Callithrix jacchus: one gene and its partners. The protein of the gene in region 1 interacts with the protein of each later gene in a pairwise test. Links are inferred from orthologs where the notes say so. Each region holds a gene or a part of one and is shown in the gene's direction. Other genes may lie near its edges. The genes, in order: APPL1, FARS2, ADIPOR1 and UBE2O.

Evidence for each region.
Region 2: the proteins of APPL1 (region 1) and FARS2 interact in binary tests that used the Homo sapiens proteins (3 or more experiments, as listed by UniProt). The two-hybrid records come from large-scale screens. The link is inferred for Callithrix jacchus from reciprocal best matches to the Homo sapiens genes APPL1 and FARS2.
Region 3: the proteins of APPL1 (region 1) and ADIPOR1 interact in binary tests that used the Homo sapiens proteins (3 or more experiments, as listed by UniProt). The link is inferred for Callithrix jacchus from reciprocal best matches to the Homo sapiens genes APPL1 and ADIPOR1.
Region 4: the proteins of APPL1 (region 1) and UBE2O interact in binary tests that used the Homo sapiens proteins (3 or more experiments, as listed by UniProt). The two-hybrid records come from large-scale screens. The link is inferred for Callithrix jacchus from reciprocal best matches to the Homo sapiens genes APPL1 and UBE2O.

What each region holds. Positions count from the first base shown.
Region 1 is NC_133516.1:74,835,806-74,843,994, reverse strand, and holds the start of APPL1 (DCC-interacting protein 13-alpha), read left to right. Parts: upstream 1-3,662; 5' UTR 3,663-3,805; coding exon 3,806-3,859; intron 3,860-8,189. UniProt on the Homo sapiens protein: Multifunctional adapter protein that binds to various membrane receptors, nuclear factors and signaling proteins to regulate many processes, such as cell proliferation, immune response, endosomal trafficking and cell metabolism.
Region 2 is NC_133505.1:25,184,928-25,192,932, reverse strand, and holds the start of FARS2 (phenylalanine--tRNA ligase, mitochondrial), read left to right. Parts: upstream 1-2,810; 5' UTR 2,811-2,951; intron 2,952-3,358; 5' UTR 3,359-3,544; intron 3,545-8,005. Other genes in the region: LYRM4 (LYR motif-containing protein 4), read right to left, coding at 1,963-2,048. UniProt on the Homo sapiens protein: Is responsible for the charging of tRNA(Phe) with phenylalanine in mitochondrial translation.
Region 3 is NC_133520.1:30,003,658-30,011,965, reverse strand, and holds the start of ADIPOR1 (adiponectin receptor protein 1), read left to right. Parts: upstream 1-3,972; 5' UTR 3,973-4,667; intron 4,668-8,308. Other genes in the region: CYB5R1 (NADH-cytochrome b5 reductase 1), read left to right, coding at 1-171. UniProt on the Homo sapiens protein: Receptor for ADIPOQ, an essential hormone secreted by adipocytes that regulates glucose and lipid metabolism. Required for normal glucose and fat homeostasis and for maintaining a normal body weight.
Region 4 is NC_133506.1:132,294,131-132,301,651, reverse strand, and holds part of UBE2O ((E3-independent) E2 ubiquitin-conjugating enzyme), read left to right. Parts: intron 1-1,739; coding exon 1,740-1,799; intron 1,800-1,994; coding exon 1,995-2,105; intron 2,106-4,882; coding exon 4,883-4,980; intron 4,981-5,461; coding exon 5,462-5,525; intron 5,526-6,437; coding exon 6,438-6,581; intron 6,582-7,026; coding exon 7,027-7,136; intron 7,137-7,280; coding exon 7,281-7,431; intron 7,432-7,521. UniProt on the Homo sapiens protein: E2/E3 hybrid ubiquitin-protein ligase that displays both E2 and E3 ligase activities and mediates monoubiquitination of target proteins. Negatively regulates TRAF6-mediated NF-kappa-B activation independently of its E2 activity.

The sequences.
Region 1 (8,189 bases):
AGCGTGGTGGCGTGCACATGTAGTCCCAGCCACTCGGGAGGCTAAGGCAGGAGAATCGCTTGAAGCTGGGAGGCAGAGATTGCAGTGAGCCAAGATGGCGCCACTGCACTCCAGCCTGGTGACAGAGGGAGATTCCATCTCAAAAAAACAGAAATGAACTGAGTTTGGTTAACTGTATAAAACTTAGGCTACTTAAACTTAAACTTGTTATCTGTAGGGCCGTGGGGCCCCGCAGGGTCATGGGGTGTCCTTTATGCTGTGCTGAGGTGCAGGAACCGAGAAGCAAAGAGACAGGACACTGAAGAACTGGTGAAGAGTATATGGACTCAGGGGGCCATGCCACCTGTGAGTGGAGGTCGGCGAGAGCCCCAAATGCCCAAATGCATTTGTATTTATCAGGTACAAGCAGGAGACAGGGTTGTGAGTGAGGTCATCATCTATAGGCTTAGCAATAGGACATACATAATCATGTGAGTCACAAGCAAGGGGGTCACCCCATTATGTCACTTGGGCAGAGAGGTGGGCCATGCACAGTAGAGGGCATGGGGTATGCAGTAGTAGAGGGTTGTGTACAGAAAGGGGGTCCACCCCCATTATGTCACCGAGGCAAGGAAGCGGGCTGTGTGCAATAGGTGTCGTGCGCAACACTTCTTATCTGGGGGCTGGAGACTTCAAAGGATTTCTAATACAAGGATACTGTAAGCCAATGCAGTAGGAGCTGACAGACTTGTGCTCTTAAGATATTTATGGGAGGATGATTTGAGCTAGCACAGAAGTGAGAAAAGACTGACAGGGTGTACAGCCACTGTGACTGGTCACACCAGAGAGGTTCTTCTCCCTGGGTTATTTCCAGGATCTCAGGCCTGAGGCCTACTTTTCACAGGCACTGGATGCAAGGTACTATGACTCCTTTATCAGGAGGAGAGGCTCTTGCTCCAAGCCTGCCATATAGAGTATGCCCTTTCAGGCAGGGATGCCACCACCTGGGTCTGTAGTTCTTGTCCTGGTCTAGCTGTTTTCCCATGTACTGCTTTTGTTTTGTGACTGCTCTAGGCATTCCTCCTACTAACTACTATATGGTTATATAGAAGGATTCTATTCTATAAATCAGCACTAAATGTGTCAGTACAGCTCTGACTATAATACCTATATTATATGGAAAGATTATATAGAACTAAGTATGCTAGATATAAGTATAAGCATGATTATGTAAGCTGGATATATGTAAGCTGTAAGTTATACTTCAGGTACTAATTCTATAAACTAAAATATGATCATATTTAAAGGATTATATAAAGGAAATAGCTGAGTAATATCACTGTAAACTAAGATATTCTTTAGGCACTAATTGTGCTTGGGAGATCTAAACAGTTCTCCTTCCTCTGTGCCCCTGGGGGTGGTACCCACAGTTATCAAAAAGGACTGTGAATTCTGCAGCTTTGGAGATGTTTTGACCTAGGAAATACAATCACATTTTCGAATGAGCAGGGTATACAGTGACCTAACGCTAGAGAATCCAAATAGAAGGCTAAAATTGGATTCTAGTCGAAATAGGTTAAAACTAGATTTGACTAAACCTACCTCTCCATCCAATTGAATATGAACCTGTTTTTTTTTTTTGTTATTTTATAACCAGAATTTCTTGCCATTATGCGATAATGTAATGGCCTCTTGAGAATCCTTTACAGAAACACAGTTTATATGTATATAACATACTAGAAAGGAAACCATTTAACTTGATAATACCACACCCAAATAATTCAGATACCTAACAGAATTTTTCAGTGGAATTACTTGCTTTGGCCAAGTTAATTGGGTAACAAGTATTTTTCTTTTCTCTTTTTTGAGACAGAGTCTTGCTCTGTCGCCCAGGCTGGAGTGCAGTGTTGTAATCTCAGCTCACTGCAACCTCTGCCTCCCAGGTTGAAGCAATTCTCCTGCCCCAGCCGCCCGAGTAGCTGAGACTACAGGTGCGTCACCATGCCCAGCTAATTTTTGTATTAGTAGAGCCGGGGTTTTGCCATGTTAACCAGGCTGGTCTCAAACTCCTGACCTCAGGTGATCCACCCGTCAAGGCCTCACAAAATGCTGGGATTACAGGCATGAGCCACAGTGCCCCGACTTTTTTTTTCTTATACTTTGTTTACACCCTTCATTTACTCCTGATTCTTATCAGTTGTCACTACCTTTGTTCTCAATTTAAAATCTAACTCAGTTCAGTCAGGAAGATCACTTACCTTGAAAGTCTTCCTTCTTTAGAGTTGGGGTGCATGGTGTTCTTGCTGGCAGAGTAGAAATGAGATATCAAGGAAAAAGAACCTATAATACAACTGGGAACCCTTAATTCATTGCAAGAAGTGACTCCAAACCAACTTCCTCAAAAACTAAAGAACTCTTCCAGAAGGCGACTAGTGATAATCTAAGGGGAGAGCTTTTAAAGACTGTAAGACTAAAAATAATACTGTAAAACTACAATGCAAACCTACCCGACAAAACTTTAAAAATATAATTTTATCTTTCCTTAGAGAGACCATAGGAAAATCTACTATTTTCGTTTAAAACATATAACTTCTATTTGTTACTATACTTGGATTTGTGCTACTCCTATTCTGGATTTGTTCCCATGTATCCATGGAACCAGGCCCCTAATAATCTTTACTCAGCATCTCTGCTATTTCTTGAATGAAAATGGAATGGATTGGTGCAATTAATGGCTAGATGTTTAGAAAACACTAGCTATTTTGCTATTTTCTGTGTATACTGATGAAAGCCTACAACTTTACAGACATAAACGAGCCAGGCTGAGAGATTGGGAAAGATGAAGAGAGAAGAGGAAAGGATGGGCTTGTAGCCCTCATCCGGTCAAATTCTCAACTTAGAGCTTCACTTTATCGTAAAATTAGAGGCTAAACCTATTTAAAGCCTCTTCCAAAACTTTTTGATGAAACAGAAATGCCAATCAGTTACCAACATAATTAACAGTGTATCCTGATTTTTAAAAGATGTTTCCCTTTGTGATTTGTTGGAGTTGCAGCGTCAGTCCTGAAGGACCGACCTCGAGAGGCCAGGTAGGAACTGATAAACTGGCAACTAAGTCACATGTTTTCAACGGAATATACCGACATTCAAGTGTCCAAAAAAATAATTTCGAGCCTACTGTTCACAAGTTTGCCAGAAAGCCCTGTTATTGAGACAACTTCGGATCTCAGATACATGAGTTGGTCAGCACCATTCTGCTGGAGGGGATTAAGACTGGATGCTTCGAGCGGAGTTGGGAAGGTTACCATCTGAGCAAACTACAAAGCGCCAGCAGCAGGGCATTTTTCAAGGTCTCTGCCGAAAAATGTTGCGGGAAAAGTCAACCCGCTCCAAATTCCCCGGTGTGGCCCTCACCCGAGGCTCCGGTTCCCTACGTCGGCAAGCTAGGGAAGAGACGGTCCCCTACGATTTAGACATAAACGCCCGCGTGCCGGGAAGGCTATCCCAAGGCTGACACTACCACCTCCGCCGCTTCCGACACCCGCGCTCATGGGAGAGACTCGCGCCGCACGGGAACCTCCGAACCAACGCCGCAGCGCCGATGGGCGTCCCCGCGAGCCAATGGAGGCGCCGAGAGGCGGGGCAGGGAGGCCGAGGGGGCGGGATTTCCCGCACGGCCGCTCGGAGCCTGGAGAAGGCAGTGCTGGCGGGGAAAGCGGCAGCGCCTGCCTGAGAGGGCGGGCCGGGGTCAGCTACAGCGGGCCGGCAGGCGCGGGGAGCTGTGGGCGGCCGCTGCGTCTCCTGCCGCCACCCTCCCTCCGCCACGATGCCGGGGATAGACAAGCTGCCCATCGAGGAGACGCTGGAGGACAGCCCGCAGGTGAGGCGCGGGCGCTGGTGGGCGACGAGGGAGAGCCGGGCTGGCGGACCCCAGGCCTGGAGCCTGCGCCGTTCCCGCAGGTGCCCGCCCCGGCCCAGGTGGGCGCCGCCGCCGCCCGGGGCCCCCGCCCGTCGCAGGCCGCACCCCGAGTTGTCGAGGCTGGGTCCGCCGCCCGAGGCCCGCGTGGGCCTGCTCGGCTGGGCCGAGGGCCGCGGGCGGAGACCAAGCCGCTGGTGCTCGTGGGCCGGGCGGTCACGTACGCGCGCGGGTCTGCTTTTTATTTCACGAAAGGCGCCGTTTTTATCTCCGTGATGTGAGGTGCTAAATCTCGATCCTGGAATTTTCTCCCCGAGAAATGCAGAAGGGAGAGAAACCCTGGTAGCCTTATTTAATGATTTCCAAGGCTCAGCAAGCTAGGGAAGGAAATGGATAGTTTTTCTTCGGGAGAGGCTGAAAGGCTGTGACGGGTCCCGGAGCCAAAGACCACTCGCCCCGCCGAGTGTGCCCGTGGCGCGGCCGTGACTGTGGTCGCTGTCACTCGAGCTGTACACGGCGAGTGATGGAAGGTGCCTTCGCGCCGCTCCCAGCAGACTTGTCCTTCATAAAATCATCAAAATAAAAGCCCTGTGTTCTCTGTGTCAGAATGATGCTGGTGTGGTTGCTCTAGCTTGAGACAGTTTTGGAAAATGTAACTATTTGATATTTTTTCAGTACTGAAGAATGAAATCAGCTATACTTTTTAAAATGTTGGCAGGGGATGTAAATTCCATAGGGAAAACTTCATTTCTAAGCCTGCCTTTTTACACGATAATTTAAATGGTTTAACACGGTGGTGCTCGTTGGACACCATTTAGAATGAAACATTTCTGAATTATTGCTCATTTAGAAATGCAGTTGCTCCTACTTCATGTGTCTTTACATTTGAACATGGCCTCCAAAGAAGAAAAGCAGAAGAGGTCCAGATTTCCCTTTCCTGGATGGCACTTCTGTCTTGGATTTTGTGCTAGTGTTAATTGCCAAGTTGAAATGGAGCTCTGATTGTAGAATTGATTTGTTCTTTTTCATTCTGAAAGTTATCTTCACAGGCCAGTTGCCTGCTGCTAATGTACTCTTATCAGCCTATACTGACAAAAAGAGAAACTCACATTTGGTTTATCTTGATTGCCAGTATACCCAGTTCAATTTTTTCTTGATGAATTCTCCATATACAGTTATAAACAATATTTGTTTCAGCTGAATGGCAGAAAGCTTATGGAATTGGTCAGGTGAACTTTGTCATTTTACTTTTTATTATGTGAGATTCAACAGGTTGCTTTACCTTCTCTTACCTGGCTTTTTTTTTTTTTAATAGCCCATAAAGACTATAAATGGCTCAGAATGGATTGCGCATTGCCCTAGATATGACTTGTGAGGCAGAGACAAACTCTTGACTCATCTGATTTCTTGAGCTTCTTACACAGATTAGTTTATAATTTAAGAATTGTGTTGAGCCGGGCGCGGTGGCTCAAGCCTGTAATCCCAGCACTTTGGGAGGCGGAGGTGGGTGTATCACAAGGTCAAGAGATCGAAACCATCCTGGTCAACATGATGAAACCCCGTCTCTACTAAAAATACAAAAAATTAGCTGGCGCATGCCTGTAATCCCAGCTACTCAGGAGGCTGAGGCAGGCGAATTGCCTGAACCCAGGAGGCGGAGGTTGCGGTGAGCCGAGAGATCGCGCCATTGCACTCCAGCCTGGATGACAAGAGCGAAACTCCGTCTCAAAAAAAAAAAAAAAAAAAAAAAAGATTTATTTATTTATTTTTTTGCAAGCATGTATCATACTAGTGTCAGTTTTACACTATGTTTGTTTTTGTTGAGATGGGGTCTTGCTATGTTGCCTAGGCTGGAGAGCAATGGCTGTTCACAGACATTAGCATAGTGCACTACACCCTGGAACCCCTGGGCTTAATCAGTCCTCCTGCCTCAGCCTTTCTAGCAGCTCGAACTACCGGCATGTGACACAGTGACAGCTAATTTTTAATGAAGTAGCCACATTGATATTCCTTCAGTGTTTAAAGACAGTAAGTTTGAACTAGGTAAAATTTACTTGGGAAACTTAATTGGGACAACTGGGATTTAGAAAGTGTAGATACTTGGAGGTGATTCTTAGATTGAACCCGTGGCAGAATGAAAAGCCTTGGATTTAGGATAGAGGTACTTTTTAGTCATCACTGCCACTTACTACCTTCTGCTTTAGGACAAATCACTCAATTTCTCTGAACCTTAGCTGTTGTACCTTAATGGCGTGTTTTTATTTTTGACCCTGATTAGGAAAAATAATAGTTGCTTGTTTCAGAAAAATTGGAAGGTCCAGAAAAGAATAGACACACCTGTCGGGTACTCAGCAAAACCCTATTAACAATTTGCTTTCTTTATTCTACTGTTTTTTCCTCTACATGTTCTAATGGAATTGAGATTATATTGTACATAATGATCTTTTTCCTGCTTTTAGCTTAGCATTATAGCTTAAGTATCTTCATAATGTTTTTAAATTCCAAATAAAAATTGTGAAGACTACACATTGCCTTAACTGATTTCCCAACCCATTGCTGGACTTTTAGAGTTTTCCCAAAGTTTGGATTTTATAAATAGGGCTGAGATTAATGTTTTGGGCCATACGTTTTGTTCTCAGTTTGAACTATTTTATCTACAACAGAGTCCAAGAAGTAGAGCAGCAAAGAATATGAAAGACTTTAAAAAATTGGTAAATTTTTGGGTTTTGTTGAGACAGAGTCTCACTCTGTCGCCTAGGTTAGACTGTAGTGGCGCAGTCATGGATCAGCAACCTCAGGCTCCTGGGCACACCCCACTAAGCCCAGCTAATTTTATTTTATTTTGAAGATGGAGTTTTTCCCTTGTTGCCCAGGCTGGAGTGCAGTGGCACGATCTTGGCTTGCTGCAACCTCCGCCTCCAGGGTTCAAGTGATTCTCCTGTCTCAGCCTCCCAAGTAGCCCAACTGAAGAATTTTTTATAGAGACAGGGTCTCACTCTGTTGGCCAGGCTCATCTTGAACTCTTGGCCTCCCACCTCAGAGTCTCAAAGTGCTGGGATTACAGATGTGAGCCACTGTACCAGGCCCAAAAGTTTTTTATTTGATCAGTTTTTAATTTTTTTAGATTATTTAGATCTAATCAAAAGAGGCCTGCCAGTTGTTACATAAAAAAGTTAGAGCCTTGGCCAGCCCCAGTGGGTCATGCGTGTGGACACTTGAGGGTGGGAGTTCAAGACCAGCCTGGGCAAAATAGCAAGACCTCATCTCTACAAAAAATAAAATTAGCTGGGCGTGGTGGTAGGAGCCTGTGGTTCCAGCTATTGAGGAGGCTAAGGCAGGAGGATCGATTGAGTCCAGGAGTCCATGGTTGCAGTGAGATGTAATGCACACCATTACACTCCAGCCTGGGCAATAGAATGAGGCTTTGCCTCAAGAAAAGAAAAAAGAAAAAAAAAGAAGAGCCTAGGAGTGATGGAAGACTATCCTAAATTACAGTTATCTTTCTTTTAGTTTTGATTTATTTAGTAACTACTTACTAAATTAGGGAGAATTTGCAAGTCCAAAATCCAGCTTAAAAAGCATCTTTTAAGGATACTGCCTGGAACCTGGGGGGGAAAAAGCATCTTTAGAATTACCTTGCCCAAACCACACAATTCTGCAAAAGAGGATCCGTTAAGCCAGAAAATCTTAAACTTGTACTAGATGCCTTGTCCATATTTATATGTTGTTTTAAAAATTAAAATAAAAATAAACCTTGTTAATTAGTAAAAACAGATGATGTAAAAAAAATAATTGATTTTATGTATAGGTGTGTATCTTAATGATTCATCTATGATAGAACAGTGAAGACAAACCCCATTCCCAAAGGGAATCTTCCTTTGTGTAATATGAAATACTCATAGATTATGAGATGTGCCTTTCTCCCTAACATTTTAATGTTTCTGATTGGGATTCTTCTTACAGTTGATGGTATATTAACAATTGCTGACAGCCAGGTAGCAGTAGTAATGTACTTCACATTGCCTGCCAATGTACATACTTGGTTGTTTCTCCTAGTAGCATGCTGGCCAAGTGTAGGCTCTCAGTGTTAAACTAACAAATCAATTTTACCACCATTTGAGGAAGGAATATCAGTCTTGATTGTTGTCTGAAAACCTTCCTTTGACACCTGGTGAGACGTCAAATGACATCATCAAAACTTGCTGAATGAATGTTTAGGGACAAAAATGGAACACATCTAAGAAATACTTATTTCCTCATGTCACAGAGAATAATATTGTATAGGAAAACATGG
Region 2 (8,005 bases), on another chromosome or scaffold:
TTCCTGTTCAGTTGGCAACTACTCATTTGAAAATAATTGGGATTCATTTGCTCATAAATCACTTCCAAAGAGAATTTCAGAAATAGAAGGGTCCTTAGAGACTGTCTAGTCCAACAGTCTATTTCACAAACAAGAGCTCTGAAAAACAGAGATTGAGTGACAAGTCCAAGTTATAGTCTTTGAGGGTTCCACCTTGACTTTCTACATGCTCTCACATAGACCCTCTCCCTGCCATTTTCTTTAGTGTGTGAACTCCCTGCTGGTTCCAAGTCCTTAGGTATCCTCAGTCTAAATAACAAAGTATCTTCCTCCAGACTATGGTGAAATCAAATGGTTTCTATGTATATAACGTGCATATTTCATGTGTTCCCTCAACAGACTTGGTTAAGTACTTGGTGCTAGGTGTTTGTTTAATCTTGCTAAAAATTCCACCAGTATGCCTATTATTACACTCATTACTCTCCAAAGTCAAAGTCATTAAGTAAAATCATGTTCTCCGGTGAAATTTAACCACTTAACTGGGTGGATACGACTTCAGGGGTATGACCTAGATGCTGTTCTCAAATTTGCAGAATGAACATGTTTTCTAAGCAGGTTTCTAAACATTTGAGAGTCACTGCTTAAGAGGCTTACTGTTCCTTTCTTCTGACAGAGGTTGTTCAGGTCGGTCTGCCAACTCACACACCTGGTAGAGGGGAGCCTACCTAACCAGGTGTGTTCCAAGGGTAGGCTCTGCTCCTATGACATCCAGTCCATAGGCTGGCCAGTCACCTAAGTGAGGCTTGGGGTAAAGACATGATTGATCGAGTCAGATTTTTTCTCAGGGGAATATGGCTTAAAATCAGAGAGGAGTAGCAGTTAGTCAAAACCAAACCAAACCAAACAACACATCTGAAAAAAATGCAGAGAGAATCCATAAGGAAATGATGGGTCAGAAGCAGCAACAAAGTGAAAGTAGAGGTTCTGAATTAGAAAAAACCATACAGGCCGGGCGCGGTGGCTCACGCCTGTAATCCCAGCTCTTTGGGAGGCAGAGGCAGGTGAGTCGCTTGAGTTGGGAGTTTGAGACTAGCTTGGCCAACATGGCGAAATCTCGTCTCTACTAAAAATGCAAAAAATTAGCCAGGCGTGGTGGCGGGCGCCTGTAATCCCAGCTATTCGGGAGACTGAGGCAGGATAATCACTTGAACCCCGTGGGGCGGAGGTTGCAGTGAGCTGAGATTACGCCGCTGCACTCCAGCCTGGGCAGCAACAGAAAAAGAATCATAGGCAAATAGGGGAATGGTGAGGCATGTAAAAAAGTGAATGTGTTATATTAAAGATGTAAGAGTTTAGACCCTCAGTGTCCTGCTATCAAGGTCAATAAGCAGGATCTGTCTGGTGAGCCAGGATAAACTGAGGTTTCAGCTCCAAAGCCTGTGAGGTCCTTTTTCCTTTACCGCTAAGCCTTTCCATCGTACCCTAAATAGAACGGATTTGATTCTGGCAACCAAAAGAACTCTTTACGACACCTGGGAAACTTTAGGGAGGTGCTAGCGTGTGCCTTAAGCTTTTTAGCTGTGTGCTACTCACTGGCCATTTCCACGCTCTAGGGAAGTTTTACGTATGCAACATATTGGCCTTAACTTCACCAATGGCTGATTTCCATCTTTTTTTTCTCTTCTGCAGAAACATAACACTAATCATGCTCCGAGAGCACCAACCAAGGTAGACTTTAGGGGGAAAACGTTATAAGACGTGAACGTCTTCCCTGGTAGAAAGAAGAGCAAGCCCTCCGCTCCTCCCCGAGGTCTCAGAGGCCACACCTGCAGGCAGGAGCACGCTTTTCTATGGCGGAACCCGGTCCCTTTCTCGCGGCCGCCGGCGCAGGACGGTGGTTCCAAGGACATTCCGCGGCAGCCCGCGCCCCCGGCCCCCGGCCACCGGCCCCCGGCCCCCGGTCCCCGGCGACCGCCGCGTCACCTGTAATTGTAGGCGCTGAAACGCTTGCTTTCTCTCAGCATAGCCCGGTACAGATCTAACACTTGTGCGCGGCTGGAGGCTGCCATTTTGGAAAGAAAAAAACAAACGGGTCCTCTTCGGAGAGGTCCCAAGTCCAGCCCAACCCACGGAACTTCAGCCTGTGCAGAAACTACGAACGAAATAAAGTGCGGCGGCTCGGCCTTGCCAGCTAGGCGGGCACCCCTGAGGACCGCAGACGGCACCCGGCATCCCGGGCCTCTTCCAAGGCGGGCACAGGCAGGCCTCGGGGCAGCTAAGGGGGCGGTGCCTGGAGGGAGGTGCCTCCGCTCCGCCCAGCCCCCGGCTGGAGGCTCTGGACCCAGCAGCCGCTCCAAGCGGCTGAAAGGCGGGGAAACTAGAGGCCTGGCCGTCGGGGCATCCAGCCAAGCCCCTGGGGGACGAAGATCGGAGGCGCGAGCATCCGAGAGAACTGCAGTTGCACCACGGAGAGCCTTTGCGAACCGTCCGGGGTCTTGGAGGGGACATTTGTGTTTCAAGGCGCAGCGGCCCTTAGTACCTCCAGGAGGCTGCGTTGCCAGGGTTACCGAAGGCCGCCGCGCCGAAGGCCCGCCCTTGACCGCCGATTCCCCGCCCCCACTGGCTGCGGCCGCCCTCAGTGCTGCCTGAGAGGCCTTGCGGGATTTCAAGGGTGACTTGACTTCGCCCGATCCTGCTCGGCTGGATGGGGTTTCATGGCCTTCTCTATGTTGGGAGGCGCGATGTCTGGGTGTGGAGGTGATGAGCCAGGGGTTCTGTGGTACTCCGGCGCTGCTCAGGGCGACCTGCATAGGGGCCTGCGGGACAGGCCCGCTTTCTGTCAAAATGGCGGTGCCCAGCGTACAGGGGTGTCTCTTCAGTTGGGGTTTAAGATTCTTGCCCTGAGAGCGAACTAGCCTGCCACGCTTCCGATTTTGAAACACTTGGGTCTGGGTTTCCCGGGAGAGCGGTGGGTGAGTGCCGGCCTCGTTGCAGCCTGGGGTGCGACGTGGGCAGTTGGTGTGGTAGGGGGTTTACATTGGCCGTGGATTTTTTTCCTCTTTCCTGATGTGGATTTGCTTTTGAGTGAAGTGTCCCCGTGGTTTTGTAAACTAATAAATTTGTAAAATGCAGCCTGGCTGTAGACCTCGGAGAATAATTAGAGACCTTTAGGGGTTTAGGTATTCTCCAAGAAGCAGAGCAAGTTTTCTCCCATGGCTTGACCTAAACTTTTTTGAATTACCTTATTAAAGTGGTGGATAAAGTTGCTTGTTCTAATTTTTGAGCATGGGACTGGAGGCAGGGAAGCCTCAGCCAATTCTAGTACTGTGTTCGCAAAGCAATTTTCTTATTTTTGGAATCTTGCTTTACATAACCTTAGGAAGAACGACACCTTTCTGCATTCAAGCACAGTGAGGAGTACCTTTATACGTAAAAACAAAAGGGCTGGACGCAGTGGCTCCCGCCTGTAATCCCAGCACTTTGGGAGGCCGAGGCGGGCGGATCATGAGGTTAAGAGTTCAAGACCAGACTGGCCAACATGGTGAAACCCCGTCGTTGTGACATGGTAAAAGCCCCATAAAGCTGCATACCTCAACCATACCTAGGCTTTGTGTTGAAACTGCTCTCTGTAACCCTGATGTGACAGGCAAGCAGTCCAAACCCACGCCATCTTGGCCCCTGCGACTTGTAATAAGTAACTAAGGTCTGTAATTTCCACCCATATCCAGACAACGTGTAAACTAACACTTATCTTGACTTCTGTAAACCGCTTAAGCCACAATCGGAATATCCAAAGCCCTCTGGCCCTGGGAATGTCCGGAGCCCCTCACTCTCATCTCCGCCCCAGAGGTAATTTACGGAATCCACTGGCCCTTGGAATGTCTAAAGCCCCTCACCCTCACCCCCAAGGTGGTTTACAGGCGTAAAAGTTCTTGACACCCTCCTTTCAGGGCCACGGGTTGGAGAGACGAGAGTCCTCCGTGACCGCCGGCAATTAAGACCCTGCAATTTGGCATACTTTTGTCTTGGTGTTAACTTTCTATGCTCGGGCCAGTACAACACGCTACTGAAAAATACAAAAATTGGCTCGGCCTGGTGACTCGTGCCTGTAATCCTAGCTACTTGGGAGGCTAATGGAGGAGAATCAGGGACCTGGGAGGTGGAGGTTGCAGTAAGCCAGTTACAATTGTTTCAACCTATTAAGGAATTTAATCATTAATGTATATAATTAATGTATCTAAATGACTCAACTTTGTGGTAATCAAATAAAACTTCCAAGTAAATATGTATAGTTTAGATAGTTTGGGTAGCCTTGTCCTCTGTTAGTACAAGCAATGGTTGCAGTTAGGAAAGCGATAGCTTCCCAGTTAATTCTGAGCCAAGTCTTCACAAAAATACCTCATTATTTTATTTAAAATGGTTTACCAGTTTGATGGACATCATTGCCTTGAGAGGCTAATAGAAAATATTAATTCAAAAGCTACATCTCACTTTTGCATATCTTTATTGTGGAGATGCCTTTTTTTGTTTTTAAAAAAGAAGAAAGTAACTCTATTTGAGACTGTAAGTAGAATGGGCCAGAAGCTGAAGAATGGACCATACCCATATGTTCCTTAACATGCATTCTGTTCTGGGTTGAAATTTTTCTTAGGGAATATCTACAATAGGAGGTACCATTTAGGAATCAAAACATAAAAATTTCTTTAGTATTCGTTTTTCGTTTATCCAAAGTTATCAAGTAACTATAGTTCTTTATGTAAAATCTTGTATTATCTTCTATTAAAATTAGGGTTGTCCATGACCACCTAGTGCTGTGTGAAGAGAAATTTCTCAAATCATAATAAACAGCATAACAACAATTTACTGTCCTGAAGCTTAAATATCAAAGTGATGTATGGAGTAAAATTTGTATAGAAATAGTAACTTATGATATTATTTAGAAATTATTCAGGTGGGCATGGTGCTGTACACCTGTAATCCTAGCACTTTGGGAGGCCGAGGCAGGTAGATTACTTGAGCCCAGGAGTTTGAGACCAGCTTGGACAACATGGCAAAACCCCATCTATACAAAAAAATACATCATAGCAAACCTCATCTCTACACAAAAAGTACAAAAATTAGCTGGGAGTGGTGGCAGGTGCCTGTAGTCCCAGCTACTCAGGAGACAGCGTGTAGTCCCAGATACTCAGGAGACTGAGGTGGGAGGATTGCTTGAGTCCTGGAGGTCGAGGCTGTGTTGAGCCATAATCACGGTACTGCACTATAGCCTGAGCAGCAGAGTGAGACCCTCTCCAAAAAAAAAAAAACCAAAAGAAAAAAAATTATTCTATCCTACACCAGACATGAATCTAAGTATTATACATTGATCCTTCATTTTAATAGAATATGAAGGGGGAAGACCTTATATATCAACTCATTCATTTGTATAGATGAACAAACTCAAGCCTTCCTCATTCCTTCCTTCCTTCAGCATTTATTGAAGACTTCGTAAGTACCATAATTTATTATTTTTTTTTGTTTTTTGTTTTTTTTTTGAGACGGAGTTTCACTCTTGTTGCCCAGGCTGGAGTGCAATGGCGCAATCTCAGCTCACTGCAATCTCTACCTCCCGGGTTCAAGCGATTCTTCTTCCTCAGCCTCCCAAGTGGCTGGGATCACGGGTATACACAACCATGCCTGGCTAATTTTTTGTATTTTTAGTAGAGATGGAGTTTCACCATGTTAGCCAGGCTGGACTCGAACTCCTGACCTCAGGGGATCCACCTGCTTTGGCCTCCTAAAGTGTGGGGATTATAGGTGTGAGCCACGGTGCCTGGCCAATAAGTACCATAACATATGAGGACAAAACTATAAGATGACATAGTTACAGTGATGAGAGCCTCCCCACCCCTAAGAAACCTGTAGGTGATTAGATAAACCAAACAATAATTTATAGAGACAGGTTCTCGCTCTGCTTCCTAAGCTGGAGTGCAGGGGTATGATCATAGCTCATTTAAACTTCAAACTCCTGAAGTGATTTTCCTGCCTCAGCCTCCCAAGTAGCTAGGTCTATAGGCTCATGCTACCATGTCTGGCAAATTAGAAAACTTTTTTTTTTTTTTTTGGTAGAGATAAGATTTCACTATGATGTCCAGTATGGTCTCAAACCCCTCAGTGCATTTCCTGCCTTGGCCTCCCAAAGAGTTCAGCTTATAACTATAAAGTGTGAGCCGTGGCACTTGGCCAATAATTTCTTTTTGACAGTTGCTGTGATAAGAGCAATAATTTAGCAAATACTAAAGGAATACAGAAGAGGAATATTGAACTAGGACTTTCACCTAAGGGAAGGCTTTCCATCATAGGTGTTTCTAGAATGAATAGTAAGAGCCAGATGAGGAATGTGGTTAAAGATTGTATTGTATATTCCAAGCATGGAGGCAGAAGGGTGCTTGATCTATTTAGAGAACTCTAAGTGTTTTAGGATGGTAGGAGGTGGGAAGGGAGGGACCGCAGAAGTGGTTAGCCCTGCACTAACTTTATTTTAGTGATGTTTTTCCTATTTCTGGAATAAATCATTTCTTCCATTATGCATTGGCTGAGTCATATAAGTATAGCTTAACAGCTGAGCTGTTGAAATGGAAACTATTTATTCAGGTATGGATAGCCTTTTGTTTCAGATCATGAATTTGAATCCTATATTTGAGAGGCAGTGAAATTTTATTTGTGCATTCAAAAGATAGCCGGCAGCCTGGTAGTTCAAGTTTCTGTTCTCGCAATGATAACTTGAGGATGATGTAGAAATCAAACATGGATCCCGTTTTCCAGAAGTTTATACTTTAAATACATTTGTATATAATTAAAATAAGGAGTAGGAGATATTAGGTTGGTGCAAGAGTAATTGGGGATTTGACCATTAAAAGTAATGATCAAAACTGCAGTTCCTTTTGCACCAACCTATACAAAGTGCTTCAAGGAAAGGGCTGGTGAAGCGTCACTGGGTCTCAGTGTAAGAAGTCACTTCCATCCCTTATGCTTGGGCCACACCTCAGACCAACAGCAGGGCTGAGGCCCAGGCTTCAGAGATTTTTGTTTAATTGTTTTTTAAGTTTCCTCCATGATTGGGTATAGCCAGGGCTGAGAAACACTGATATGAAGGAATCAGGAGGCTTCATGGAGGAGGTAATGTTTGTATTGGGCTTGAGAAGATTTAAGTTTCTTCTGGGCCTTGAAAGGAATTGAAGGATTTGAATGGGTGTGTGGTGGTAAGATGGCTACTGTAGGTGGAAGACGATTTACGCTTTGCCTTGAAAGGGTGAAGAGAAACCCTGATTGAGGTCTAAGAGAAAAACACTCATGACCTGGGAGGGGCTTTGGCCAGATCTGTAGAGTGCATGAGGGTGAGAACAGGGAGATCCCATGGAAATGTGATACATGGACTTTCATATGTGTTAGGCACGAGATGAGCTGAGTCCCAAATGATTTGAGTTAATCTTTCCATGACTCAATAAAAGAGCTGTTATCTCCATTTAAGAAAAGTGAAGCTGGCCCGGTGTGGTGGCTAACATCTGTAATCCCAGCACTTTGGGAGGCTGAGGAGGGAGGATCACTTGAGCTCGGGAATTTGAGACCAGCCTGGGTAACACAGCAAGATGCCATCTCAATATAATAATAATAATAAAGAAACGACAACAAAAAAATGAAGCTGAGAGTTTCTTTAGCCAGGATCAGACAGCTAGAAAGTAGCTAGGGTAGGCGTTGGCCTGAGATGAGAGCTGTCTAGCTACAATGCAGCACTGCTTCACAGAGAAAGTACCACCTTCAGGAATTTGAAGCTTATTGATTTTTCTTGGATAACATGGGTAAATTTTAGTCATATTTGAAGTTTAATTTAGTTGGAGTCTCACTTATTTGTAAAGCTAACCAATTTGTATAGGAAATATTATAAATATTCAGGGAATCTTAAATGTTGATTTTTATACCAGCTTTTTAGTTATTTAAGATAAATTTACATTTTATTCTATTACCATCTCTTTGAAAAGGCTTAGTG
Region 3 (8,308 bases), on another chromosome or scaffold:
TGGGCGTACAGCAAGGGCTTTGTGACTGCCGACATGATCCGGGAACACCTGCCTGCTCCAGGGGATGACGTGCTGGTGCTGCTTTGTGGGCCACCCCCAATGGTGCAGCTGGCCTGCCATCCCAACTTGGACAAACTGGGCTACTCGCAAAAGATGCGATTCACCTACTGAGCATCCTCCAGCTTCCCTGGTCCTGTTCTCTGCAGTTGTCTCCCATTCATACTCAAGCACCATAAGCCCTAGATTCCTTTGCTGAGAGTTTTAGCCTTTTTGAGCTCCATCTAGAGCTGAAATCTGGATAGTACCTGCAGGAACAACATTCCTGTAGCCATGAAGAGGGCCAAGGCTGAATCACTCCTTGGAAGGCCCCTAAATCTCCCCGTGGCAACAGGTCCAGGAGACGTCCATGGAACAGTTTCTTCCATCGAGTAGGAAAAAAGGGAGCATGTACCCTTCGTCCAAGATTGGCTAGTTCCTTGATAGCATCTCACCTTCTTTATGTCTGTGATGAAAAGAACAGTCTCTGCAATGAGTTTTACTTAATATTCACTGTTTTACCTATGCCCAAATCCATACATGTGAGTGTAAGTGGAGCATACTTCCAGAGGTGGCCTTATGGAGATGGCAGGAAAGGAGGAAATGGTTTCTCAGACTCTATGGAGTCTGAAATACATATTTCTGTGTGTGTCTCTCTTGGCCCCTGCCCAGGCTAGAGGGAAACAGCTACTGATAATCGAAAACTGCTGTTTGTGGCAGGAACCCCTGGCTGTGCAAATAAATGGGGCTAAGGCCCTTGTGTGATATTGAAATGGTTGTCATGTCTGGGGTCCTTGTTTCCAAATGCCCAAAGACCTAGGGAGGAAGGGTTTGCCAGCAGGGAACTCTCCCAGGTGTTCCAAAGAACCTTTGAGAAGTTGTACCATGTGCTGAAATGTGAGCTGCCAGTAGACTCGGTGATCATCTCAGCAGCTGTCTCAGCAGAGCCAGAGCTCCTCTTCTCCCTGGAGGCCCTCGAGGTGGGGGAAGATGAACACACATTAGAGGGGACTTTTCTGAGCCCAGCTGCCCCTCACAGTGTTCCCTTAATATGCCACTCTTCCCCTTCTTCCTTCCCGCCCATCCTTCACCATATTTATCCTTCAGGGAACCTGGCACACAAATCAAAGTGTTGCCTTTCTGTTTGGAAGAGAAGCCATCTCCTTTAAAAAGTAACCTGACATCACCAGCCCCGGCCAGACTTGTTGATGCCTTGATGCCTGGACAGAGTTGGCCTCCCCGAGGCCCATCTGTCCTGAGCGCCAATCTACTCTGCTATGGGAGTCCAACCCTTTCCTAGGGTAGGACTAGGGCAGCCTCTCCAGATTCTTCTTTGTTAGTCTCACTGGAACAAAACAATGTGGTGGGCTCAGAAGGTCGGTCAGCATTGCTTTTCTGCTTCTCAGCAACTGTATATAGCTGTTTCTGAGGCTCCTGAGAGAAAGGTTTATGGGACCCTCAGGATTCACTCCTCCCTAGAGCAGAGGCATCAGTAAATTCTGTTGATGTTTTTCCACCCAACATTTCTTGATCAGCTAACGTGTATGGCACTGTGCTCTGTTACATAGGCTCAGCCACCTCACCTCCAGCAAGGAAAATCTTGCCTAGGAATGTTGGGCTCAGACAGTGAAGCAGGTTTGTAAAGAGAATTTCCCTCATGGAAGATCACCATTCCTCATCTGGCATGGGTTTTTGCCTCATGTGCTCAACATACGAACGTTTATTAAGGACTTGTCATGTGCCAAGCACTGTGCTAGGCCCTGAGGATACAAGTGTGACCAAGACTGGTCTGAGACCTCCAAAGAACTCACAGTCTAAGATAGACAAGTGACAAATAATTATAACACAGTGTGACTAATACCAAGCAGAGGTACATACAAAGCACAGCTGGGAAGAGGTTGAGAAAGATTCAGAAAAGAAGGAAGGGGAGAAAGAGCTAACATCTGGGCAACATAGACCCTATCTCTACAAAAACAAAATAAAAATTAAAAAATTAACTGGGCTTGGTGACACGAATCTATAGCCCAGCTACTTGGGAGGCTGAGGTGGGAGAATCCCTCAAAGCCCAGGAGTTCGAGGCTGCAGTGAGCTATGATCTTATCATAGTACTGCACTCCAGCCTAGATGACAGAGTGAGAGCCTGTCCCTAAAAATACAAACAAGTATTTTTGAGTTAATAGCTGTATATCAGGTACCGTGCTAAGTATTCAACCTATATCACATAATTTAATCCTCATGATACTCATATGAGTTGAAGATTAATAATTGGCCAAAGGTCGTACAGCTGGTCAGGGGCTGGCAGAGCCTAAAGCCAAACCTAGAAGTGGGCATTGTAAACTGCTGGCATCTTGCAGCAGACAATGAGAAGGGCAGTCCAACAGAAGGATCAGCCTGAATGAATGAAAGAGAAGTTCACTTTAGAGAACTAGTTCACCAAGACCCAACATGCCAGAGGGAAAATGGAGAACAATGAGGCCTGAGAGGTTAGAACCAGCTCATAAAGGGCCTTGAAACGCTGTTGAAGAAACCTGGACCCAGTCCTGTGGACAGTGGGAAGTTTCTGAGGATTGTATACAGTGGGCAACATGGTAATGGCTAACATTTTTACAAAGCATTTACCATTGGCTGGGTCTCATAATAAGAGCCTGCATGAATTATCTCACTCAGTCCTAACAAAGACCCAGTGAAATGCTATTATTTTATTCCCATTTTTCAGATGAGGTAATTATCATTTGGAGGGGTTCAGTTATGTGTCAAGATCACAGGCTGGTCTGGGACAGAAGCTTGGCTCTATATGACTCCAGAGCCCATGCTTTTAACCAAGACCAAGAGAACTAACCCCATGTCCCTGAGGCACCTATGTCAGATTACGAGTCACTTTCTCTGCCACTAGAATGGCACTAGTTACACAGTGAACTATGATCTCATGATTCCACCACTGCACTCCAGCCTAGGTGACAGTGAGAACCTGTGCCTAAAAAAAAAAAAATTTTTTTGAGTTAACAGCCACATACCAGGTACTGTGCCAAGTACTCTATCTACATCACATAATTTAATCCCCATGATAATCCTGTGAGTTGAAGGTTTGGTCACAGGAGGTAGATCGACATTGCTGTTCAGCAACTGTGGATCGCTGTATCAGGGGCTCCAGAGCATGGGCTGTAAAGTCACACAGAGCCAAGCTTCTGTCGCTGGCCAGTCTGTCCCCTTGAGCACATTATGGAACCCCTCCAAATGACAGTTACCTCATCTGAAAAATGGGAATAAAATAAATACTATTTCATTCTTGGGAGAAATGCGAAAATGGCCAGACCCTGAAATCCCCTTCTGTGTTGTGTGGTTCAAACAAGGGCTGCATTGCCTTAGGTCGTCTCCCCAATCTGCACTCGGTGCGTGTGGGAGCAGGAGCTGGGGCGCGGGTTCGCCAGCAAGAGTAGTTAGAAACAATTCTGCTCCCTGACAAGAAAATAACAGGAGCCAGAACTAAGGTCTAGCCCAGGGCCTGGCACACGGTAGGCGCTCAATAGTTTGTGGAAGGCAGGGAGGGACCATGCGGTTGAAGAAGGGATTAAGACGTGTTTAGAGATGAAACGACTGGCCTTGGGGACAGAGGAGATGAGACGAGGTGTATGGTAGAAGCTTCAGCATTCCCTCCCGGAGTTCCGTCTCATTCTCTGAAATTCCTTCTCCATCACGCACTCCAGGCTGCGAAGACGAGGCGGAGTGTGGAACGCGACCGGCGAGGGCAAGCCCGGGGCTGGTGGAGGTTACCTGGCCGCGGTGGGGAGGCGCGGGGCGGCAGGAAAGGCGGGGCAGCGGGGCGGGAGGTGTGGCCGGCGGGCGCGGGCCTGTGATTGGGACTCTGTGAGAAGGCCTGGGATTGGAGGGGCCCGGCAGAGCCCGCGAGGAGGTGACGCGGCTGCGGAGGTGACGCGTGCGGTCGCGCGCCCCTTCCGGCGCGGGGAGGGCGCTGAAGATAGGGGCCGCTCGGCCGCAGGCCGCCTCCAGCGCCGCGGGATGTAGCGCGGGGGACCGCGGCCCCCAGCAGAGCCCGCCCGCCCGCCCGGCCGTAAGTCTCCCCGGGGCTGCGCTGTGGGCGGGGACTCGGCGGGAGCGCGGGACCCCGGGGAACCGGCCCAGGCCTGCGGAGGGGACAGCCGTTGGGGGAACCCGCTCCGACGTGCCGAGGGTCCCGGGCCTCCGACCCGGAGCCGCCCGGCCTCCGGGCGTCCAGGCGGTGGAGGTTGTAAACATTTCCGGCCCCTCCCACTGCGCGCCGCCTCCGAGGCGTCCTAGGTGCGGTGGGCGCAAGTCCCCTGCTGTCCCTGGCTGTTCCCCGACTCCCGGCAGTTCTGTGAGTGCTGCGCCCTTAGCCCCGCGGGGTGGAGATGCCTGGGTTCCCCGGGTCGGGACCAGTCAGCCAGAGATAAGCCTGGCCCCGAGGCCCGCGCTTGGGGAGGGAGGGCTGCGGGCCTAGGTCGCGAACCGCCTCTCAGCGGGGAACACCCGTCCAGGATGGCTGGGAAGCCCTGAGGTTCCTCGACCAACCATCTTTGGCAGGTCAGGCCATGACAGTGCCCCCACCTTGAAGAGGTGGGAAGGGAGGTTGGTGATCGCTCTGCAGGATTAAGGTAATCCTGAAGACTGAAATGCGGGGCAGAATCTAAGCTAGTTTGGAGAAAAATGAAATTTCATTACCTTGGAAATCTAGAATTGATGTATGCTTTCTTCTGTTTAAGAATTTCGGCCTTCAAACCTTCGATTTTAAGAAAATAGATAAGTGCTTTCCCTCAGTTTCTGGTGCTTCGTGGGAGAATGGGAAACTGACAAGGCCAATTTCAGTTTACACCGTTTCAGGTGTCAGAGGAGCACTAGGAGGCCATGGTACTTTGCTAGATTTCCCTCAAGTAATTTAGAAGAGGGGCTAGAAAATACAGCAGAGAATACATAGGCTGCCGTCTTCAAAACAAATGAAGATTATAATGGCTGGTTGTTTTCTGAAATGAAGTAATAGTGGGGTCTGTTCACTGCTTTTCTCTTTTGCTAGTAGTTGGGTAGGCTGCAATGGTGCAACTTCGGTTCCTGAGGTTGTATATTATCTTTATCCTGCCAGGAATTTAGAGTGGTGCTAAACAGACTTCAACGTCAGTGTTCCCAGTTTGCAGCCACTACATTTATTTATTCCAGAAGTAACTTTTATGTACCCATATTGTGATTTACACTTGGGAAGTCAGTCATAAAAACTGATGTTACCTGTGACGGCCCATCTTAGGGTAGACCTCCGCAAAACTATACCGAATTGCAGAGTAGAATCTGAAAGCCTTCTATTCTCCGTGGTCAAGATTTTGCTAGCAGGTGGGAGAGAATCTCAGAAAAGTAACAGGAAGCAACATTAATCCACTGATCTCCATTGCTGATAGAAAAAGTACACCACCTTAAGTAGGCTTTTAGGCTATTTTCAGTTTCCTCAGTCTGGCCTCATTTTACCTTTCCAGGACTCCATGGAAAGATGAATTGTTTACTGCCCTAGGGACTGTGTTCCTTCACGGCTTTGTTCACGCTGTGTACCCTCCTCTAATGCCCTGTTTCCATCTCCATCTATCAAGATCCTTTCATAAAATCTTCTGCAAAACTGTTTTGATCACTTCAACTAAAGTTGCACTTTTCTTTTGAATTCCTCCTGCACATAATGGCACTAACCCTTGTAGTAATGTCTTAGGAAAGTTACTTCCCCCATTTAGAGGCCAACTATTTCAAGCCTCTGACCCCACTTTGCCGTGTCTCTGTGGCCACAATACCATGCATACTGTAAGTAATCAATCGGTATTCTCAGATTAATGAAGTATAGAAATTGCCCTTCTTTCTAGGCCAGAACGTTTGTTCTCTCTTTCCATAGGAAATTTCCTTTGACTTCTAATACAAAGCCAAACTGAAACCCTTTAACATTCCTGCAACATTATCCTGTCCTATCTACTTATTATCACACAGGTAAAATAAGCAGTCGTCTTTATATCTAGAAACTTTGTTAATTATGGTGAAGTTTTTTCTTGGACCACTTCCTGGACTTTGTTCCTCTCACCATGCTCAAAGTTGATTCCCTTTTTCCTGCTCAGAAATGTTGGGGGCATAGGCTGGGCACCTTGGCTTACACCTGTAATTCCAGCACTTTGGGAGGTCAAGGCAGGCAGATCACAAGGTCAGAAGTCTGAGGCCAGTCTGGCTAACATAGTAAAACCCTGTCTCTACTAAAAATACAGAAAATTATCCAGGTTGTGTGCACCTGTGATCCTAGTTACTCAGGAAGCTGAGGCAGGAGAATCATGTGAACCCAGGAGGCGGAGGTTGAAGTGAGCCAAGATCATACTATTGCACTCCAGCCTGGGTGACAGTGGGAGACTCAATCTCAAAAAAAAAAAAGAAAGAAAGAAATGTTGGCGACATGAATGATGTTACAAATTTTAAACTTTGTAACTATCTTGGATTGAAAAGATCCTTGAAAGTACCCTCTAGCCAGACCACTTCCATATATGGGTCTAGTTTGCTTCTGTTTCCTTAAGGCTTCTGGAGTACATGGTATAAAGTGAGTACTGTATTGTGCAGTTGTATTGACCATGTATCTGTAATGTACTTGAAAGATGGACATTAAAAATGGGCTCTCAGCCAGGCGCAGTGGCTCACGCCTGTAATCCAACACTTTGGGAGACCGAGGCAGGTGGATCACCTGAGGTCAGGGGTTCGAGACCAGCCTGGCCATGATGATGAAACACTGTCTCTACTAAAAATACAAAAATTAGCTGGACATCTGGCAGGTGCCTGTAATCCCAGCTACTCAGGAGGCTGAGGCATGAGAATCACTTGAACCTGGGAGGCGGAGGTTACAGTGAGCCGACACCATGCCACTGCACTCCAGCCTGGGGGAACAGAGCAAGACTCTTGTCTTAAAAAAAAAAAAAAAAACAACGCAGGGCTGGCATTGGCTGGGTATGGTGGCTCACACCTGTAATCCCAGCACTTTGGGTGACTGATGCAGGAGGATTGCTTGAGTCGGGGGGTACTAGGCTGCAGTGATCTGTAATCGCACCACTGCGCTCCAGCCTGGCTCACAGAGCAAGACCCTGACTCCAAATACAAAAAAAAAAGAGAAACAGAAAAAATGGACTGGCATTAAAATCTTTCATATGCCTGTATACTGTTTACTTTTTTTGTCATGACATTAGGAAAGTTTGCCTGTCTGTTAGGGCTCAAAAACACCCCTTCAGTCAGGCACAGTGGCTCATGCCTGTAATCCCAGCACATTGGGAGGCAAAGGCAAGGCGGATCCAGACTAGCCTGGGCAACATAGTGAGAAAAGGTCTGTACAAAAAATAAAATTAGCTGGGCATGGTGGCACATGCCTGTAGTACCAGTTACTAAGACTTGGGAAGTTGAGGTAGGAGGACTGCTTGAGTCCGGCAGGTTGAGGCTGCAGTGAGCTGAGATGACACCACTGCACTGCAGCTTGGGTGACAGAGCAAGACCCTTTCTTTAAAAAACAAACAACCAAAAAACTTCTGTTGGGGAAGAGCTACAAAGGAAGTCAGATTGTTTTTCAACTGGGAGGCTTGACATCAAGTAGGAGAGCTGAGGCCCTATTGCTGCAGTTTGGTGATTTCAAACATGTGCCTTTGCTTTGACTCATATTTCTCCAACACAGCTGTGAAACTATCCTCCTAACAGATGGTAGATAGGGGGAAAGCTGGCTGTGTTCTTTATCTGTACTGCTAGACTGATCTTGCTTTAGCACAAGAATCAAGCTAGGCATGGATAGAGCCTAGCCATAGAATCTCTAAAGGCCTGGGAACCCCAGATTAAAAACTCTTGAAGCTTTGTCTTCGCCTCCAGGAAAGGTGTACCGTAGCCTAGAAAACTTGGGAATTGGTTCACAGTATAAATGTCTCCAACACCTGTAAGTGAAATAACTCTCCAGCTAACTGACTGGTGATTAAAAATCAATCTTTTCCCCAAGTTTGGCACAGGATTATCTTATTTATAGGAGCACAAACACCTCCCTGCTCCACAGCTTTACTCTAATATCCTAGGTTTATCCAGTTGGAAAGCTTAGTGGTAAAGGTTTATTAGCTTGAGTTGAAGAAATCCCATCAAAAATGCACTCAGTGGAGTCTGGCTGAAATAGAATTTGCTATATTGGGTGTGGCAAGCTTGAGGGGAAAGGCATTTCCTCTAAAATACATAAGGATATAGAAAGCTGGCAGAGAGTTGGCCCTCCTAGGAT
Region 4 (7,521 bases), on another chromosome or scaffold:
TCAGCCTCCACCTCTCAGGGCCAGTTATCACAGCTGCTGGCCTTGCTGAGTGTCTGCTCTGAACTGTGCATCATGTGCCACCTGTGCGCCCGCTGCCTTGGTGATTCCGCCTCAGCCACGCTTGAGATGGCTGCTGTCATCCCTCCTTCCACTTGTCGGCAGGAGTGGTTTGCCTGAGGTTCTTGTGTCTGACTCTAGAACCCTGTTTTTTAAGGACTGGGCTTGTTGTCATTTGAAACTTGAGTTCATAGCTGGACACGGTGGCTCAACGCCTGTAATCCCAGCACTTTGGGAGGCTGAGGAGGGCAGATCACGGGGTCAAGAGTTTGAGACCAGCCTGGCCAACCTAGTGAAACCCCCCGTCTCTACTAAAAATACAAAAATTAGCCAGATCGTGGTGGCATGTGCCTGCAGCCACAGCTACTCAGGAGGCTGAGGCAGGAAAATCACTTGAACCCAGGAGGTGGAGGTTGCAGTGAGGCAAGATTGCACCATTGCACTCCAGCCTGGGCAGCAGAGCGAGACTCGTGTTAAAAAAAAAAAAACTTGGGTTCATGAGTTCCTGTGGACTCTCTGCACTGCTGGTTGGTGAAGGGGTCCTTTGCTTTTTTTTCCCCTTTTTTTTTTTGTTGAGTCATGTTCTTCTGGCAGAGTTTGTTTTAGTCTTCATTGCTAGCATTTAAGTGACCTTGAGCCAGTATCTTTCTTTTTCAGCAACTCAGTTCTCCTTTCTTGGTAGTGACCTCTCAGTGCCCCAGGTCGAGAGAGGCTGCCACCACAGAGTGTCTGGTTGGCTATTTGAGGAAACAGCTCTCTAGACACGTGGCTTGGGGTCTTGGAACTGGACACACGCGGAGACCTGTCCATAATTATGACCGTAGGCTGGGCGTAGTGGCTCACGGCTGTAATCCAAGCACTTTGGAGGCCTGAGGTTGGGAGTTTAAGACCAGCCTGACCAACATGGTGAAACCCCATCTTAAAAAAAAAAAAATGTAAAGGAACTGCCCCAGGTTTGAGGAACCAGCAAAAAAGAAGGCAGGCTGGCCTGGTGGAAGCATCTCCTGCCTAGGCTGTTGGGATGTGGAGCAGCAGGAGGCAGCGGTCGCTGCTAGCTGTGCATAAAGGACAGTCAGGTGCTCATGCAGTTGGCCAGGCTCCAAGAGCCAGCCAACTCAGCAGCCCGTAGGGCTCCACAGCGCAGCAGATAAGGTGCAGGCCACAGCTGGTCAGGAGGATAACCCAGATTAGAACGTGGTGTCCGGTGATAGCCGGGCTTCAGGGTGACCCAGCAAAGCCCGGTGTTCTGCTCCTCTCCCAGCCCACGCTCCGTCAGCCGGGGCAGGTACTTGCAGAGGGCAGAAAAAGGATTTAACGCAAAGCAAATACTTTGTTCTCTGTAGAATGGGCTGTTAAATCCTTAATTAAAGTGTGGCCTTATGTGATCTGTCATTGAGCTGCATTCAGCCTGAGGAAGGATACCTTCGGTCAGCTGAGTGTTTACTGTTGGTGGGCGAGACAGTGACCATAGGGGTACCAGGAGGCCTGCGGGTGACTCGCTCTGCCTGTGAGTCTAGGTGCTGGTTGGAGGTATGTGCAGTCTGTGAAAATGCTTCTAGCTGAACACTTAGGATTTGTGCATTTAGCAGTGTGGATGTGACACTTCAGAAGAACTTTGAAGAAAAATGTATTCTCTGGTGGCTTCAGAGCCCATTCTCTCACACTGGTATTTACTTTTACAGCTGAAACTAGAAGACCGTTCTGTGGTACCCCGAGATGTGGTCCGGCACATGCGATCCACTGTGAGTCCTGCGTCCCCACCCCAGCCCTGGGCCTGGGAGCAGCCACCTTGGGGACTTGAGCCTGCCCACTTCGCACTCTGTATGTGGGAGAGCTGGCCAGCTCTGCAGGGGACATACTGGGGTGGTCTGGGCTGGGTCTCCCATGGGACCAAGGCTGCTGCACCTTGGGGCTTGCATGCCTCCTCCCTCCCCCAGGACAGTCAGTGTGGCACAGTGATCGACGTCAACATAGACTGCGCCGTCAAGCTCATTGGCACCAACTGCATCATCTATCCCGTCAACAGCAAGGACCTGCAGCACATCTGGGTAAGCCAGCCTTGTCTTCTCATCGTCCTTTCTGGGCCCTCTGGTTCTCTAGGGCACGACCTCAGGGCTGTAGCCTTCTCTGCGCTCTTGCCAAGCACAGCCTTCCTGGGTCAGAAGGCAGAGCACAGCAACCGGCTGGCTCCTGTAGTCTTGTTTTCGCTGCCTTCCAGTAAGCCATTTAGACACGAGGTCAGGAGGTGCCCTTCCCCAAACCCAGCATAGACTGCTGATGTGGTTGTCTTTAACTGGTTTCCTTTCACCTCTAATATTTCTTTTTAAAAAATTATTTTCAATAATTTTATTTTTTAAATATTTTTTAAATAATTTCAAACCTACCAGAAAGTTGTAAATTCCTGTGTCCCTCTCATCCAGATTCCTCAGCTGTTAAGATTTCACTTCATTTGCTCCATCACCTTCCCTCCCTCCTTCTCCCCCAGATCCCTCTCCTGTCTTTTTTATTCCCAAAATATTTTGGGAATAAAAAAGAGCAAGCTTTGAGAGCAAGCTACAGATATGATGCCCTGTCACCTACCCCTGAATACACCTCTCTGTATTTTCCAAAAACAAGGACAGCCTCCTGTGTAACCACCATATAACCCCCAGATTGGGAAGTGGACATTGATAATTACAGTCTTGTCCATAGACCGAATTCAGTTGTCCCAACTCTACTCTTGTTTTGTTTTTTTCGGATCCAGGACCCAATTCAGGAACACATCTTGCGTTTAATTGTCACCTCTCGGCCGGACGCGGTGGCTCACGCCTGTAATCCCAGCACTTTGGGAGGCCGAGGCGGGTGGATCACGAGGTCAAGAGATCGAGACCATCCTGGTCAACATGGTGAAACCCCGTCTCTACTAAAAATACAAAAAAATTAGCTGGGCATGGTGGCGTGTGCCTGTAATCCCAGCTACTCAGGAGGCTGAGGCAGGAGAATTGCCTGAACCCAGGAGGCAGAGATTGCAGTGAGCCGAGATCGCGCCATTGCACTCCAGCCTGGGTAACAAGAGTGAAACTCGGTCTCAAAAAAAAAAAAAAAAAATTGTCACCTCTTTAATTTCTCTCCAATCTGGAATCATTTCCCAGCCTATCTTTGTCTTCCATGTCCCAAACAGTGATACATTCAGTAACTGGACCCTCAGCCTAGGTCTGTCTGGTATTGCCTCATGCCCATGAATTCATGGCAGACCCGCCACAGAAATGCCACTGAGCTTTGCGCTGGTTCATGGTACCCCATAGCCAAAATGTTGGGGTTGTTCACTTTGATCCCTGGTCATGTTGGTGTCCTCCAGGTCTCTCCACTATAAACTCACCATTTACCCCCTTAAGTGATTGTATTCTGTGGGAACACAGTCCTGGATTATGTCAATGAACTACCTATCATTTGTCAAACTGAAATCCACCACCTTTGACCTCCATTCACAGTTCCTCCTGCACCAGCCATTGCTCTGATGTTGCTAAATGGTGATTTTAAGGCTCCCTGGCTGCCCCCCATTTCTATTAGCTGGCATTCTGCTTTGTAGAAGAGCTCCATCTTCTGCTGACATTTATTTATTCGTTTTTTAAAATCAGTATGGACTTAGAGATTTCTGTTTTATCCATTGGTTGTAATTAATTGCTACTATTACTACCTGTTCTGTTGCTTAGGTGATCCCAGATATAGCCAATGGGAGCCCCTTCAGGCTGGCTTTCATGTCCTTTTCACATGGCCCTTTCTGTTGGTTTTTTAAGTATTTTCTTTCTTTCTGGCATGAGAAGCTTCATTGTGTTCAAAGAATGGAATTTTTAAAACCCAAATCTGGATGCTAGGTGTGCTAATTGCTACTTGGCCCTTTTGGGACACACTAGGAAATACTCATGTATTAGATGTATACACACATTTAAATATGTCACTACCTGTTCTATGTGTATGTTAAAGTATATGAGTTCAGGCCAGGTACAGTGGCTCATTCCTATAATCTCAACACTGAGAGGCTGAGACAGGTGGATCACTTGAGCTCAGGAGTTCACGACCAGCCTGGGTAACATAGCAAAACCTCATCTCAACAAAAAAAAATAGGAAAAAATTGGCTGGGCATGGTGATGCATCCCTGTAGTCCCAGTTATTCAGGAGACTGAGGTGGGAGAATCACTTGAGCCCAAAGATAGAGGTTGCAGTAAGCCAAGAAGGTCACACCATTGCACTCCAGCCTGGGCAACAGCAAAACCCTGCCTCAACAATAGAAATGAAAATATATAAGTTCATCCTGATACATCCAATTCCACTTAAACACCTCAGATGACTCTTCCTTCTCCCCTTCTGTTAGTAAACACCTGGACACCTTCTCCAACAGTGAGGGACTTGGCTGTCAATATCCTCGATATGCTAATGGATTTACTCAGAACACTGTCCATATAGCCACCCCCCAGCGGTATGGCTGTCTCCTCTGCCTGCTACCTCCACAGCCTACTTGCCAGTTGTCCTGTGTCCATGGATGTCCCATGTCCATGGATGCCATCAGCCCTCTGCCCCTGCATAAACCACCCCGTTACCTCTAGGTAGCCCCACCACCACAACCAGCACCACTTCCTTCTCGCTGAGAAGAGCAGCTGGGATGCAGCCTAGAACTTGTACAGATGGCCTGCTGCAGCAGCTATTTAGGACTGGTTGCCAACCAGTCCAGACAGTGGGCTGTCTAGATCCTTGCCTCTGCCTGTCTCAGTGGGGCATAGAGGAATCTATTCCCTGGACATGAGTGTTGTCTGCTGTGTCTCACTGCCCCTGCTCCCTTGGTCTGCAGCCCTTCATGTATGGGGACTACATTGCCTATGACTGCTGGCTGGGGAAGGTCTACGACTTGAAGAACCAGATCATCCTGAAGCTATCCAATGGCGCCAGGTAGAGTCTCACCACCAAGGAGCCATTGGCTTGGGAAATGGCTTCTTGGAAAGAGGGAAGGAAGAGGGTGTTTCCTCCTGGGGCCAGTGATGACAGGTTTGATCAAGAGCAGTGACAGATGTTGATAGCATCCCAGGCCTGCAAAGCAGGGCCTAACCCTGTGGCGTTCTCCTCATCTACCATGGTCTAATTCTGTTGGTCAGTTTCTGATCTGTCCTGCCGTGGGGAGAAGCGTGTTCATATCTGCTAGGGGCTGGTGCTTTACTTGAGGCACTGTGATGGTGCTGAGCACTCCAGTGGCACTTGGGATCTTGTTCATTGTGCATTGTGGGAGAGTTTTTTATACTACGTCGGGCTGAGCTGATGGTGGAAGATGAATTTTGCTGTTTCGGGTACTTGGTGTATTGGCATCTTAGGATCGCAGCTATTTGGTACTCACTGTGTCCCCTGGTGGAGACCAAGCCTCTGTTCTCTGTTTTAGGTGCTCCATGAACACGGAAGATGGCGCCAAGCTCTACGACGTCTGCCCGCACGTCAGCGATTCGGTAGTGTGCTCTGTTCAGGCCACGCCCTTCTCTGATTGCTCAGTCCTCTGGGAAGAGGACTTCTTAGCAAAGAGCTTGTAGCTGGCCCTGGCTAAACAGAGTGGTTTCCTGGAAGAGGATTGGGTGTGCACCAGAGGCTCTAAAAGTTTGGGTATAGGCAGAAAGTATTAGAACTTTTTTTTTTTTTTTTCTGAGACAGAGTCTTACTCTGTCGCCCAGGCTAGAGTGCAGTGGCACGATCTTGGCTCACTGCAACATCTGCCTCCTGGGTTCAAGCGATTCTTTGGCCTCATTCTCCCAGTAGCTGGGATTACAGACATGTGCCATCATGCCTAGCTAATTTTTGTATTTTTAGTGGAGATGAGGTTTCACCATGTTGGCCAGGACGGTCTCGAACTTCTGACCTCAGGTAATCCACTCACCTCGGCCTTCCAAAGTGCTGCAATTACAGGTGTGAGCCACTGTGCCTGGCAGTATTAGAACTTTTATTTGCATTTCTGTTAGCCTTTTCCTCTCATCCTTTGAAGTCTCACTGTTGCTCTCTCAATACAGGATGATGTATTAGTTATAATAGTACATGGACACAAATAGCAAACAAGTAGATATACAGGGGGTGTGTGAGCAAACAGGTTTCAGGTCCACTGCTCTCTGGAGCCTTATTCCTCAGAGTGTGAGCCCTTGACCAAGGAGCACGGAATGAGTCAGCCTACATTTGAACAAGGGTGCCAGGTGACCTCTACGCACCCAGAGTTTGGGAAGTGCTGTTCTTGAGCCACACGACTTGTTTTAAGGCATGTAATGCCTGTGAGTGAGCTTCTGCAGGTGGGCAGCCAGCAGGCACAGGTGTGGAGAGCGCGGTCACCCAAGGAGGCACTGCTCACAGGGACTTTCCTCTGGCCCCAAATCCCACAGGGTCTCTTCTTTGATGATTCCTACGGCTTCTACCCAGGCCAGGTGCTCATTGGCCCCGCCAAGATCTTCTCCAGCGTCCAATGGCTGTCAGGTGTCAAGCCCGTGCTCAGTACCAAGAGCAAGTTCCGAGTGGTGGTGGAAGAGGTGGGTCTGGGCCTAGGGGCAGGAGACAGAGTCCTTGACCTCCACGCCCTGGAGCTGAGCTGCTGCCCCTTTCCTGCCTGCTCTGAGGATTGAGCCCTGCTCTTCAGCTTCTGGACCCTGTTGATCTCAAAGGGCTTTAAGGAAAAGGGGAACCCAAGCTCTGGTCATAGTGACCAAAAGACAGATGTCCCCAGCCCAGCCTGAGCAAGGTGGGAGGGTGGTGGGTGGCTACCAGTGGTCCCTGGCTGGTATGAGCAGTGATACTGGTCCTGGGTGTTGCATTGGGGCCGTGGTTACAGTCAGGGCCTACTCTGATTTGTCTGTACTTGGTGCTGCACTAGGAAGATCAGTTTCCTCCTCTGGAGGTCAAGTGGGCCCTGGGCAGCTGGCTAAAGAGTGCTGTCAGAGCCTGCCCTGACTGGCGTGTCCCACCTGCCATCCCCAGGTGCAGGTTGTAGAGCTGAAAGTTACATGGATTACCAAGAGTTTCTGTCCAGGGGGCACGGATAGCGTCAGCCCCCCACCCTCTGTCATCACCCAGGAAAACCTAGGCAGGTGAGCATGCCCTGCTGCCAGCAACCCAGGGGCACCCATGGGACAGGGCTCTGGGCCCTGGCCACAGATACCTGGGGAGGCTGGAGAACACTGCTGGCCTCCCAAGAGTTCAGCCTGGCTCACCCCCACTTCTCCCTCAACCAGGGTGAAGCGTCTCGGATGCTTTGACCATGCTCAGCGGCAGCTTGGGGAGCGCTGTCTGTATGTCTTCCCAGCCAAGGTAGAGCCAGCCAAGATTGCCTGGGAATGTCCAGAAAAAAACTGCGCCCAGGGGGAGGGCTCTATGGCCAAGAAGGTATGTCCTTGGGGTTGGGGGTTGGTGGGCATTTGAGGAACTGGCCTTGAGCCATTTCCATGGCCAAAAAGGACAGTCTGTGCTTTAGGC